Caenorhabditis elegans: one gene and its partner. The protein of the gene in region 1 interacts with the protein of each later gene in a pairwise test. Each region holds a gene or a part of one and is shown in the gene's direction. Other genes may lie near its edges.

Region 1 (4,988 bases):
TATCAAAGCTCAAAAAACATTTTCTATTAAAAAAAATTTCTACCGTAAACATTGGATAATTATTGATAAACTGTTTGGCAACCACTGCATCTTGAGGGTCCGATGGTTCAGGAGAACAGAGCATGGCCTGAAGTGATAGAAGAACTGTCCGAAGTGTAAGACTTGCAGTCCTTAAACCCATTTGTTAACTAGAAACATGTAAAAACCAACCATTTATCCTTGAGTATGTCCAAACAAATGGTTCCAGTTTGTGAGCTGATGTTTGGATGCCAGATTCGTGTAACAAATTTTGCCTGTATATACTCAAATGCGCGAATGTGAAATATAATTTCGGTAACCTTTGGCGGCTCAAACGGATAATGTTCAGGAATATCGACTTTTATTTCAAAAGTACCTCCGGCGTAAGGTGTGCCCTCTGGACCCTTGATGAATCCCTGAAGTAATGGTGTTTTGGTGTAAATACAGATATGTTTAATTAGACGATTTTCTGAATAGTTGATAGACGCAATTCAATAAAAATTTGGCCATAGTCTGGAGTGATATGTATTTTTAAATAAAACAACGGGTACATTTTGAAGCAAAGTCATCAATGATATTTTCATAAAAACTGGAAAAAAACGTTTTTGATGCCGTTCGTTTTAGGACATATTAAATTGAAACTTTTTAGTAGTATGTAATCTACACATGTTTTATTCACATACACGGTAGTTCTTCTGAGGTTCGGTCAGGAGTTGATAAATCAAAAACTTTTCTAGAAGTATTTGGCAAGCAGAAGTCACAACCAAGACTGGCTCCGCAAATTTCTTTACAGCTAAAAAGTTCGCCAATATCACCAAAAAATAACGAAACACTTAAAATTTTTCAAATGGAAAACATGTTACTTTTATAACTTCAGAATGATAAAAACAGCTGCACTATATATACCTAGTTTCAAGTGACACTTTTCAGAAAAGAAATCAAGTTTTAAAAATTATGAATTGTTCAGTTGGCGACAGGCTCAAAAGATTTTTATTTTCATTTTTGGGACAAAAGTGTTGTAAAAACTTGTTAAATTCTTTTTTTCCTGTGAAGTACCACTTTTTTTTAGTTGAAAGTTTTCAGTTTGAAGACAAAGTGTGCACAAATTTTAATATTTACGAATAGGTAACACCCGTTTAATTTTTTCCAAATACACAATCAACAAATTTGGCATTGAATGCACTGCTCATTTACTTCTAATGGGTAATTTTTATTAAAAATGATGTATTTCAAATACCACTTATTATTTTTTTTCAAAATGTCACAGTGCTAAATGTCTCAGGATCATGGCCTTTATAAATCTGATTGCTCACTACTATCGCGCGCCACATTAATCCATGTATTCTTCTTTCTATGTCTGAGTGTCTCGCGCTTTTCCTCTCTCACAATGGGCCCCCTCTTTCCAAAGGTCCATGAATAAAAAGACACCTGTTTGCGCAACAGCGAAACTTATTGATTATAGTGAATGACATTGGGCGCCACGCCTAAAACTTATTTTATGCTTAAAATGTGTGCTTTTCGGGTTCTGTTTCTCTTACTTTGATATCCATTAAATTGTTCTCCTTTATTTCGACATGAATTCCCGCTTCCGTGATATCAGAAGCATTTGCCACCTCTTTACACTTCCGTGTGACCCGTGCCAATGCGAGATTTGACATTTTATCTGAAAATTGCATTTTATTCAATTTCGATACGCTCATATTTGAAAAATGTAATAAAAAATCTCATTGGCACTTAATCGTACATAGTGTTTTTCAAGGTCCACTTAAACTCAAAAAAGGACGAAAAAAAGCTCATTTGCATTCTACTATAACACGTGCATTGGAGGCGGAGTGTCGTTGCCCATATCTTGGTGCACATTCTTCTTTTTTCCTTACATCTCCTTCTTTCTTTTTCCCCTCTTACTATTAGTCATTTCACCCGCCAAATTCAAGTCTTTTTTATCTTGCACACGCGACACCAAGAATTCTGTGGAAAGAGTGGGAAGAGACGAAAGATGAAAAAAAAGGGCTAGTTTTCTTTTTTTTTCTCTTGTTTGCCACTCCAACTATTTTTGTTTTCACATCGATACCCTCATTAATTCAAAACTTTTGTCGGTTTTTGTGCACATATCCAGTTGATTCGAATGCAATGACAGAAAATATCTTGAGCGACAGTGATATTTTCAGAATTGTGGCAACAAAAACATCGAGCAATGAATGAAAACCAAAAAAGGTTTCTTGACGATATGGAAATTGCTCAACAATTGTACATTATAGAGATGGTGAACGAAGAGGATAAAAAAATAACGGTATATTCGACAGAAAACTATGAGAACTCGCTTTTTAAAGTATTTAAATGTGAATCACTAAATCAGTTTTTTTTTTTAAGTTTTAAAAGATGTGAAAAACTTAAATAATATCCAACTTTGTTTCCATTGTCAGTTTCACATCGCTGGACCCGCTGACACTCCTTATGAGACAGGTGTATTTGAGGTGGACCTCACATTCCCAGACAACTATCCTAATGCGCTCCCACAAGTATGTCAAATTACAAATATGTATACCCCTTTCATTTTTATTCCAGATCAAGTTCCAAACTCTCATTTGGAACTGTGCGGTAGAGCCAAGCACTGGGCAAGTTCACATCGAAAATTACTCACGGTACGCTGTCATTTTATTAACTGCAATTTTTGTTCTTTATTTCTTTTAAGACTCAATGTTTCGGAGGCACTGTCTTATATTGAAGATTTATTTCGATCAATCGAGGTAGACGAGGAGGTCATGTTCTATGTTAGTTTTAAATGTAAACAACGTGGCATTTTCTTTCTAAAAACTTAAGCATTTGACTATTAAAACTGTTTCACTTTAGATGGTTTTTAGATTTGCAAATAGTGTTAGGTTTCCAGGATTTTACATGATATTTGAAGGCTGCAGAAATTTATTGAAATTTTTTCTTCCATAGTTTAATCTATTCGACATTTGATTCCTCAGTATATTTTTCAACTGGGCACCTTTCAATTTTAATTTAAAAAAAAGTCTGTGCAATTAAAGCACACAACATTCCTGATTTTCCAATCAATTATTTGTCGAAATGAAAAAGTAACGTGACATCAAAATATTTGGCATCTCATGTCTAAATTTTTGAAAAAAGTTGAGAATTTGAAGCCCACATACTGAACATCAACACATTCACAACTTATGTAAATTGTTAATATTTCGAATTTTCAGAAAACTGCAAGATTTTGGACAACAGAATTTGCTGGAGGACGCCCGCTCCCAGACGATGACTGGCAGAAGAAAAAAGTCGATTCTCTGATTGAAATGGGATTTTCTAGAGTAAGAAATCAAACAATGTTTAATTTTTTTTAATTTTTATAAGTAATTTGAGCTCATGCATGGAATGACCAACACATTATTTAAATACTGTTTTTAGCTGGAATCAATTCTTGCTCTGGGTGGTAGTGACTGGAATCTAGCAGATGCAGCTGAACAACTTTTGGAAGGCGACGAGCAGGCACAAGAATAAACGTTTTGTACCAATTTGTCTTTTTTATACCATATTCAATATTTTATTGATGTTTATTGTATATTGTCAATAATTTTTTAAATACTCCATTCAAACAGTTGTAGCTCAAAGGCCAAATGTGTGCTGGTAATTATGTTGAGTTTTGTCGTAGTACTTTATTTGCTTATGTGCTTGTTCTGAATTCTGAGTGATAAATTACGTCGATGAATTCTAATCTTACTAATGAAGTAAAACAACTTACGCGAAGACGTTTTCTCATTAATTAAATCAGGTAAAACAATTGCTGAATAAAAATCTATATATCGAAAAATACTAATCGCTGAATACATTTTTTAAGTGAAGTGAATTTTGAAATCATAATTGAAGTTTTTGCTGATTTATCAGTTTTAGAGTCTAGATACAGTATGAGACTTTAAATTAACAATCTCGACAGATTCGAAAAGTGCCAGAATAGGGCTATTAAATAAGATATTACCGCTTGCTAGATGCACTGTATGCAAAAATAACTATGTTTTCCCAAAAAAAAAACACTCTAATATAATATAAGCATCCTAAAGTTCCGGATTGCAGTTTGCCGAACAGTTTTCGAACTTTCATTTTTGGCGACAGCTGAAGCTGACCAAACTTTTGCACTTGCCAACTCTGGTAATTGTCGAGTGCCAAAAATTCATTTACCGCACAGCTCTGATCTTCAGGAGTTAAACGTGGTCACTGATTCCCGTGCTTACTATTTGACATTAAAATTCCCAGATTCACTACCCTTATTACCAATAACTTTCTTTTAACTGATAAAGCCCTTTGCATTTAAACGCCTCATCATTAAGTTGGTGATTTTGTTTTGAAAAGTCTTTTTTTTCTATGCACTTTTATCCACTTTGTTACTTCTCTGATGTAACACTCACACGTAACATGTTGTTTTTTAAAGTGCAAAGTTAAAAAGTTCATTTTTTGAAAAAAAGTTACAATTATTTAGTCAAAATCTCTTAAACCCCACGATTACATTATACATTGAATCTTTCTGACTTGTAGTCTCTCGATGAGAAAAATTGCTATTTTTAACGAATACAGAAAACATTTGAAATTTCAAAAAAATGTCCCGCCCCAAATGTTGTTACTATAAAAGTGTGAATTCTGATAGTTACAATATCCTGGCTCAAATAATTCGAGGAGTGAAACGATGATCGTCACTTTGATTGTCTTTCTTGTCATTGGACTTCAAATGGCACACCTTTCTCAAGTATCTGGAAACAACGAAAATGGATTCTTAAATCCATTTGATTTGTCTCAATGGAGCGAAGAAATCCTCCACCGTCAGTATCATCATCACCACCACCATCACCATGGAAATCGGGCGAGAAGAACCTTGGAAACCGAAAAAATCTACCGCTGTGGAAGAAAACTCTACACTGATGTGCTATCAGCGTGCAACGGGCCATGTGAACCGGGTAAGTATCGTTTGTTCC
Region 2 (8,591 bases), on another chromosome or scaffold:
GTTTTGAATAAATAAAACCTCAAACGGTGGCATTGTTGACTCGAGACCCATTTGAATATGTCCATGAATTGTTGTGCAGTTGTCGGGTAATTTGTCCAACTCACATAATGGGCAATAACAATCTGTAAATGATATATTCAAAGTTATCAAAAGTATTACCGATTAGAATGATATTTAAGATTTTTGCATTTGGCAATTGGAAAATAAAATTTAAAACGCAGTTTTTTCCCTATTAGACTTGCACCATCATTTCTCTATTTTGACGGCTCATATTTCGGATTTCTTAAGTGAACTGTTTCAAAAACTGTTTCAGAATATAGATCAATATTTAGCGCGTATTTTGTCAATTAACAAATTTTTGATAAAACCAAAAAAAACCGAGATAAGCTGGACAGTTAGAAGAGAGTAGTAATTTCTTATAAATTTAATTGTTATCCAACATTTTGCGAAATTTCGTCTCTAAACCAAAACTAACTAAAATAGTAATATGTTTACTATTTCATTTTCACTTACCATCTCCAATTACAAAGTGATATAACTGAGTAAAAAGAGCGGCAATAAGTGGCCATTGCATAAATTCCAGCGCGTTACTCTTTTTCGTTGCAACCAGACGATAGACAAACAAAACTTGTGATTAGATTAACCAACTCAAAAACTGCTTTATTTTTTATTATTTCCGCCCACCCTCCGGAAAGCGATTGTCATAGTAACCAGCGAATTTCGCACGCCTTCTAGCTACTGCACTCGCTGGTTTTTTTTTAATGAAAAATAGTCGAAAGGTGGTTAGTGGGAGTTTTGAAGATTACGTAATTATAGAGAGCAGGATGCTGAACTTTCAGATTTTATTCAAATTATATGATCATTAGTTTCAAAAGTTTACCAACAAAAAAGACAAAATAAGTACATACATACGCTTGAAAAATCAAATAATCATGATTTTAAATACAAAAAAAGGAATTTCGGGAAATTGTCAAATCGTCAAATTACCTGAAAAGTTTAAAAAAATGTGCTTTAAAGAAAAATACTCAAAGTGTTATGAAAATACCACAAAAATAAAAAAGAATGAACAAACCAAAAAGGCAAGTTTCAATTGTGACTGTTCTCCATTTTTAAACTTCTTCCAAAAGTATAAGCCACGCCCATTTTCTAACCACTCAACGTCTTCAAACTCTACACAATCGTCCTGATTGGTTGAAAAGTGGGCGGAGCAAATCACTGATTGGTCAAAGTTTTTATTTCGGAGGGAATTCAAAATCGCGGTTTTAATAGTTCGAATTTCCATTTTTCTGCGGTTTATTTTTCGATTTTATTTTGTGGTTTTTTGAATTTCGGACTATTTTTATGTTTTAAAGAAACATCCTAATTTTAATCTACACTTTCAAGCTTCTGAAAATAAATACTGAAGTTCAATTTGTCAATTTCTTCTCAAATATTTCAACGTTCAGGACAGTTATCATAATCTTCGAGAACCAACAAACCAGCTGCATCTTCCCGCCGTTCATATCCTCATATCTTATTGATCTTTTTTTCAAATTCCCATCGGTTTCAAAACTTATGAGTAAATAGTCAAACAAAGCCTAAAAACCAGTAAAAGACTCAACCAAGAACTTTTCAAAATCCGATCCGCGCACCCCACGCACACCGATTGATATCGGCCGCCGCTGTGTTTGCAGGAGATGGCTGGGGGCGTCTTTCGTCTGTTGCTCCCCAGATCTTTCTCCAACTTCTCTGCGTCTCAAATCTTTTTTGGCTCCCGGGAGCACTCGGCACACTCATCCCCAACTCTCCAAGTACACCCCACTTTATTATTATATTCGATTCGTCTTCTCGTTCTATCCTGTTTTTTTTTAATTCGAAATTCCAATATTTCTAAAATTCAATCCTTATGAGCAGTTCTCCACAAAATGAAGCAGAAGCTCGCGAAAAGGTTTGTTCTAAAAAATTTATTTTTTTAAAGAAAATCTTAAATTCGTCGTTTTCCAAACATTTAAAAATTAATTTTGTGGACAACTGGAAATGAAATATACTTTAAACATCTACAAAAAATAATTATTAGAGACATTCATTGAAATTTTTTATCTTAAAAATATTGGTAACCCTATAACGGTCCTTTGAGTTTTAAAACTTAAATTTAAAATTTTTGTCAATTTTCAAAATTTTTATATTTCGTTTAAGCTCCCTATAGGTGCTGTACAAATTTTCTTTATTTCAAATAGACATTGCAACTTTAAAGTAACGTTTTTATTTTTTAAATGAAAAGTTATTCCACTGATTTTGAGAAAAAGTTAAGTCCCTGTACAACATTGATTAGTTGATTAGTGCAATCATCTCTAACCCACATGACCCATAGATTCTTTCAGATGCGCGAGCTGATGTCACGTCCACCATCGAGTCGACCAGCTGATTTTGTGAATCCTCTCGAAAAGATCGAGCAGTTGCTGACGTGTCCGATTTGTCTCGATCGCTACAAGTAAGTCTGTGATCTCAATCAGCTGTTCGTTTTGAAAGTGAGCAGACGAAATTGAAAGAAGAAGCACCACGGACAACCAAAACAAACTATTAGTGTGTAGTTCAAGGATAGACATAGGCCGTGTGACTTCTGACTGACCACTGTTATCATATGACCTAGGCTAAGTACCGCTTGGCTGAGGGGAATTTTTTTGAAAAAACGAGATAGACTTAGGGGATGCATAATAAACATCCGGTTGTTTACGCACTGTGCATCAAAACAATAATAAAATCAGACAGACTGTTATGATGATTAGCTAGGAGAACGTTATGGAGAAATCAACAATCTAAGATCCTGCAGGGATCTTTTAAAAATGAGGATCATTTTTGGGTTAAATCAACAACGTTTGTGTCAATAAATATAGACTAACCTACGTCAGAGTAAAAAGTGGAACATTAAAAAAAAGAGATGTTTCATTGATCTGTTATAGATGAACAAATGTAAACATCCATTTTAAAAACGAGAACCTTTTCTTGTAAAATATTTGAATAATACACTTATAGTCTCAAAAATAAAATAAAAAAAAGTAAAAAATTTGAATAACTTTGCACGAGACCTCAGACAATCATGACAAACATTGTATTTAGTGAACGTAGGGGTAAAGTTTTTCAAGCTTAGAAGGTGTAATACTATGATATTTTTCAACTCGCCATTTCTTGTTCTGTCTTCTCAAGTTTAATTTCTCAAGTTTTATCTTGCTAACTTTTTATAAATCTTTTTGTTTTTGAGAAAGACGAGTAAGAAGAGTTGGCGTAGTATTTTAGCCCACTAGGAGTGTTTTTAAACATTTTTTCTCAATGGCGATTATCTTCAAAACTCAACGTTTTTATTGAAGTTTCCTAATCATAAGTTTGCCAATTTTTTAGATTAAAAGCTCTAGCTTTTGGGCTATAACCCGGTGCTCATTGAAAATTCACAAAAATACCTCCTGCGATAAAAGAAACGTTTCAAATATTTTTTTTTTCAATTCAATAGATGATTGGAATTTTTTTCGAAATCTTAGAAATCATATGACAATATTTCAACTGGTGGCAATCCACTTTTTAACAATGAAACACTTCAAAATCAATCACACAGTTGTTCTCAACTCATTGTTAGAGTATTTCGAAACAGCTTCACCGTTGTATCTATCTCCATGTCGAACGGCTTTTCCTCTACTTTCTCTTTTCTCTTTTTTACAATCGAGAAGGGAGCCAAGAGAAGACTTTTCAATCGGATTCTCCGCCAGTTCTCAACTATTTTGCCATTGGCTATGGGGCTGCAAAGTGTGTGTATTACACCGATGAGGAAACGAAGAAGCCTGCTGGACGTGATCTCTTTGAAAGATATTTAGAAAGAGAAACGAGACTTTTTATGATTTTTTAAAGTTGTGAAATCGTGAGATATTGACATTGGACATCTGAAGAACTTGGTAGTTGAAATGTAATACTTTGAGCTTTGATTTTTATAGAGATAAATGCTGAACAGAATGGCTAAACTTTTAAATATCAAGTTATAGATTTAAACTATTTTCAGACAACCCAAGCTTCTACCTTGTCAACACACATTTTGCTATCCATGCTTGGAAAGTTGTGCAGACACGTTACATCGCAATTTGAAATGTCCAGAATGTCGAGCAGAACACAATATTCCATATGACGGAGTAAAGGCGTTTCAGGTGTGAAAATAAGTATCACTTTGAAGCAAAATATTTCATTTTCAGCCAAACTACACATTAACCGGGTTTCTCGAGATTCATCTGCAGGCCACACCAGAATCGGCTGCAGAAATTGAAGAGTACATTCACAGGTACAATTTGGAACGGTGCAAGATTTGTGATGAGAAAGCAGACTGTGAACCATGTGCACATTGTGATAGAAAAGCATGTAAAGAATGTCGACAGACTCATATGGATATGCTTAAAAGAGACATGTCGCGACTTTTGAATCAGGTTAAACGGCTTGCCAATCGAATTACGGAAGCATCGGATAATTTATCAAAAGGAGTTGATATGATGACAATGAACTGTGAGACAACAAAAGCAGAAATTAAAGAATATTTCCACAGGTTTGTCTGAAAAGATATAAAAACCCGAAAAAAAAATTAAATTCAGATACCAGAGAGATCTGAAAAAGAAGGAAGACAACTTTCTCATGGAAGTTGATACATTTCAAGCTACTGAGACTCGTAATATGAGCAATCTTCGTGATGTTCTGGAAATTGAAAGTTCTAATATGAGTGAAGCAGTTTCTAGACTGGATGCTGCAATCAAGGTGGGATTTCATTGAATATTTTGAAGCTATCGAGAATTTCAAAAAGATATCATAACAAAAAAATCTTAAAATTTTCAGGGAGAATGTTCAATTGAAGATTCTGAACTTGTTCGAATGAAAAACACGTTTACGGAAGGGCTTGAATATCTTAGGAACTTTCAGGTAACTTTTTAATTTAATTGTTGAACATTTCTTATTGTATTAATGCTTTAGCCCGACGCCGACGAACTTTTTAATCGAAAACTCCGATTCTCAGCTGGAGATGATGCTGCTAAGCTTCCAGCAGCGATCACTACTTCTGGTGAACTTTGTGTTCTAGTTCCTCAATTTTCGGGAAGGTATATTTCAAAAACTTCAAAAAAAACGAAAATCTTTAGTCAATACTTTGTAGATACCTCCCTCTTGAACAATCATACCTTCCAAGACCATTCCGTTTACCATTGGAAAGTGACAGTTATCGGGTTAAATCTGACGAAAGAGCAAGTATGAGAGATCGAGAAGCTGATAGGACATCTTCAAGGCACAGGTATGTTCCATGGGAATTGGTTTTGGTTTTTTATTAACAAACGTGTGATTTTTAGTCAAGTAGTTTAGTTGTATAGTGTAGAACACTAATTATAGAAAATCAACATTGTTAAGGTGTCAAAATGAATCTACGTCCGGTCTCTGGCTCTCGACTTCATGTTTTCAGTTTTCTATGTAACGGCTTATTGTTGCAATTTACACTCAAATATAGTACAATTTATGTTTTATTCATTAAAATATCTTAGAGGTCGCCAGAATTGTGTCAAGATGCTAAATTTGCCATGCCAATAAAAATAATAATATTTAAGAAAGGGGCAACGGACAATTTAAAAAACTATTTAAAAGTTAATTATTTTCAAAATTTTATTCGAATTTTTGAAGAAAAACGGCTAGACAAAAAAGTAAAAGCGTTTCCGCGTTTTTATGTTGGTTTATTACTATCCAATTTTGGTTATTTTTTGGCCAAACACATATTGATCGCCCTTTATGAATATTAAATTTGGCACCGGCATTTTGACATAAATCTATTGAAGTTATAGTTCAATTTAGCTTGGATAATTTATTAAATGTATAATCTCACAATTACTTCTCCATACAGTTTCCCTCTCTAAACTATCCTCTTTTAATTTCAGTCATCGAAATCCTGAGCCTGATGAGTCCTCGATTCGTTACCGTCGTCGTCAGCAGCTGGAAGACGAAGCTTGGAATCGTCTCCGTAATTCATCTGCTGCTCCTTCTCTTCTTACTACATCAGTCACTGCGGACTCTTCATCACGAACATCGCCGTGGGCTGCTGATCGTGTCACCCGATCAGTTGAACCAACCAAGTCACGGCCAACAAGTCTGATTGTTCCGAATACTGAAACACCAAGAACTGTATCTCCAGCTAGTAAACCTCCTCTTCCACCACAATCTGTTGAACGGGTTGAGAGGACTGAAGATGCATCACCTGCTCCACTTCCACAACTTCCGATCCGAAAGCCACCTCTGCCACGTCAACAGTCCAGTAACGATGATTCTTTGAATGAGAAAGTGGAAACCATCCGTAGAGCTCATCAACAACGTCAAGATGCATCTAGAGCTGCATCAAGAGCAGTTTCAAGTGAAGAATCAGAGGGAGAGGATTTTCCCGTATCCACCAACCGCGGTAGAATACGAATAGTTTGTCGCGCGGCATCTGTAAACCGTGATGATGGACTGATGAGTATGATCCCAGGAACTGGTACGATCATAAATGTTCCGCCACCTCAACATCAACTTCCGGCATCCGCTCCGATCACCAATGGGACATCTGAACAAGTCGCGATTCCAGTCACACATTTCACAGGTGAGGAAGACGAAAGTGACATCGTCGTGCCAGCGTGGTTACAGCGTCGGAGGCAACGCTTCCAACGCTCGCGCACAAATCCCGACATACAGGCACAGTTCACAAGTGCTCGAGTGCAGCAGCTTCTCGCCGAACGTCAATCTCGTTTAGACTCTTCTACGACAACCGACGAAGAGAAAGAGAAGCTTGCCGTTTTGCGACAGCGTGGCCGCAGCGCTTCTCGTGAAGCTGGTGAATGGAGGGCTCGTGGTAGACCACGTGCAGTATTCGGACGAAAAGGTGCGAAGGATGGCGAGTTAAACTGGCCACGTGGAATTTGTGCATTGTCCGGAGGTCTTGTCGCAACTTGTGATTCGTCTAATCATCGTGTCTGTGTTTTCGATAAAGATGGAAAATTTGTTCGTCAGTTCGGAGGCTACGGTGCCGGTGCCGGACAACTTGATTCAGCTGCCGGGCTAGCAAGCTCAAAGCTCCGAGTTATTGTATCCGACAGGTACAATCATCGAATTTCCGTTTTTGGATTGGAAGGAGATCATTTGTTCTCATTCGGTGGACATGGACAGGGAAATGCTAAGTTCAATAATCCATGGGGAGTTGCTGTCGATGATTTGGGAAGTATCTATGTGGCTGATAAGGTAGGTCAACTATCATGAGACGTTTCTCAGTAATGCGAAAGTTCATAATTGTATACATTTTGATAAAAATTAACTTTGTTTATTAATTATCATCAAGAGAAGAACTTTGTTTTTGTAGATTCATATATTGCAGGCAAACCGGACGTCCGGTATTTTGAGTATCATTTTTTAATTTTTTTTTTTTTGGAAATTCGGACGCCGGACATTATTGTGGTCCGCTTTGCAGATCTAGATTAAATTTTAAAAAACATTGCCCCACATGCTAAAATACAAGTGAAGCTTAAATTATAGGATAATCACCGCGTCCAAGTCTTCGACAAAAATGGTCAATTCATTGCAAAATTCGGATCTTTCGGACATCTACCTGGTCAACTAAACAGTCCATTGTTCATAGCAGTTAGCAGAGTTACTCATCACGTGAGTGATTCCAGATAGATTCATGAATCATTCTGAATCGTTTCAGGTGTATGTATCAGATTCTTCGAATCATCGAATCAGCGTATTCGATCCCCACGGTGTTCATTTGTTTTCATTCGGCGAGGAAGGTTTTCATGGTGGACAATTCAAATTCCCACGTGGAATTGCTATTGATTCACAGGTAAGGCTGGAATGCTAAAGAAAAATTCTAAACCATTCATTTTCAGGAAAACCTAATAATCGCCGACTCCGGTAACAACAGGATCCAAGTTTTCGACGCCCAAGGTCAATTTGTCTCCTCTTTCGGAACTTGGGGTGGAGGAGCTGGACAACTGAAAGGTGTCGAAGATGTTTGTGTCACTGCTGACGGTTCAATTGTTGTCACCGATCGCGAGAATCATCGCATTCAGATCTTCTAAATTATGTTTTTTCGGGCCTTATTCTTGTTTCATTTTCAATTAAAATGTCTCCTTTGTAATTTTCTGTTATCGATACCGATGCCACCCAACTTTTTAGTGTTTTCATCTTTAGGTACAAAGCACTTTTACAAGTATTATTAATTATTATTACCCATTACGACTTTCGGTTTTAAAACACTTCTGTTTTCGAGTTTCAATAAAATATTTATTGAGAAAAAGGAAACATTCATTGGATTTCCGATTGCATTCGATTGTGGATTCTAAGCTTTGAAAGTGAAGAGGCAAGTTTGGCCAGCTGTTTGTTGGAAGACGGTGAAGCGCTCGTTGGCGGAAACTTCGTATCTGAAATTACAATAGCATTTATTAAATGAATGTTTGTATTAATCTAATTTTCTTATATTGGTTTCTACTTAGCTTTCTACGTACCTACTGTGCTGCCTAAAATTACTATACACCTAAATACATGTAGTAGGCCTACACGCATGCCTGCTAGGCCGGCAGGTGGTA

Evidence for each region.
Region 2: the proteins of ubc-22 (region 1) and nhl-1 interact in a two-hybrid assay, tested with the Caenorhabditis elegans proteins (one study listed by BioGRID).

Annotation. Positions count from the first base shown.
Region 1 is NC_003284.9:8,866,355-8,871,342, reverse strand, and holds ubc-22 (UBiquitin Conjugating enzyme), read left to right. Parts: upstream 1-2,180; 5' UTR 2,181-2,212; coding exon 2,213-2,308; intron 2,309-2,441; coding exon 2,442-2,537; intron 2,538-2,583; coding exon 2,584-2,660; intron 2,661-2,710; coding exon 2,711-2,789; intron 2,790-3,227; coding exon 3,228-3,335; intron 3,336-3,432; coding exon 3,433-3,525; 3' UTR 3,526-3,740; downstream 3,741-4,988. Other genes in the region: ubc-21 (Ubiquitin-conjugating enzyme E2 21), read right to left, coding at 44-170, 211-293, 339-434, 1,557-1,718; ins-9 (INSulin related), read left to right, coding at 4,703-4,970.
Region 2 is NC_003281.10:9,147,099-9,155,689, reverse strand, and holds nhl-1 (RING finger protein nhl-1), read left to right. Parts: upstream 1-1,787; 5' UTR 1,788-1,885; coding exon 1,886-1,927; intron 1,928-2,360; coding exon 2,361-2,470; intron 2,471-4,024; coding exon 4,025-4,166; intron 4,167-4,211; coding exon 4,212-4,555; intron 4,556-4,601; coding exon 4,602-4,761; intron 4,762-4,839; coding exon 4,840-4,923; intron 4,924-4,974; coding exon 4,975-5,099; intron 5,100-5,152; coding exon 5,153-5,287; intron 5,288-5,918; coding exon 5,919-7,248; intron 7,249-7,539; coding exon 7,540-7,665; intron 7,666-7,711; coding exon 7,712-7,846; intron 7,847-7,892; coding exon 7,893-8,084; 3' UTR 8,085-8,295; downstream 8,296-8,591. Other genes in the region: Protein irld-34, read right to left, coding at 19-122, 514-574; ZK512.8 (uncharacterized protein), read right to left, coding at 8,345-8,426.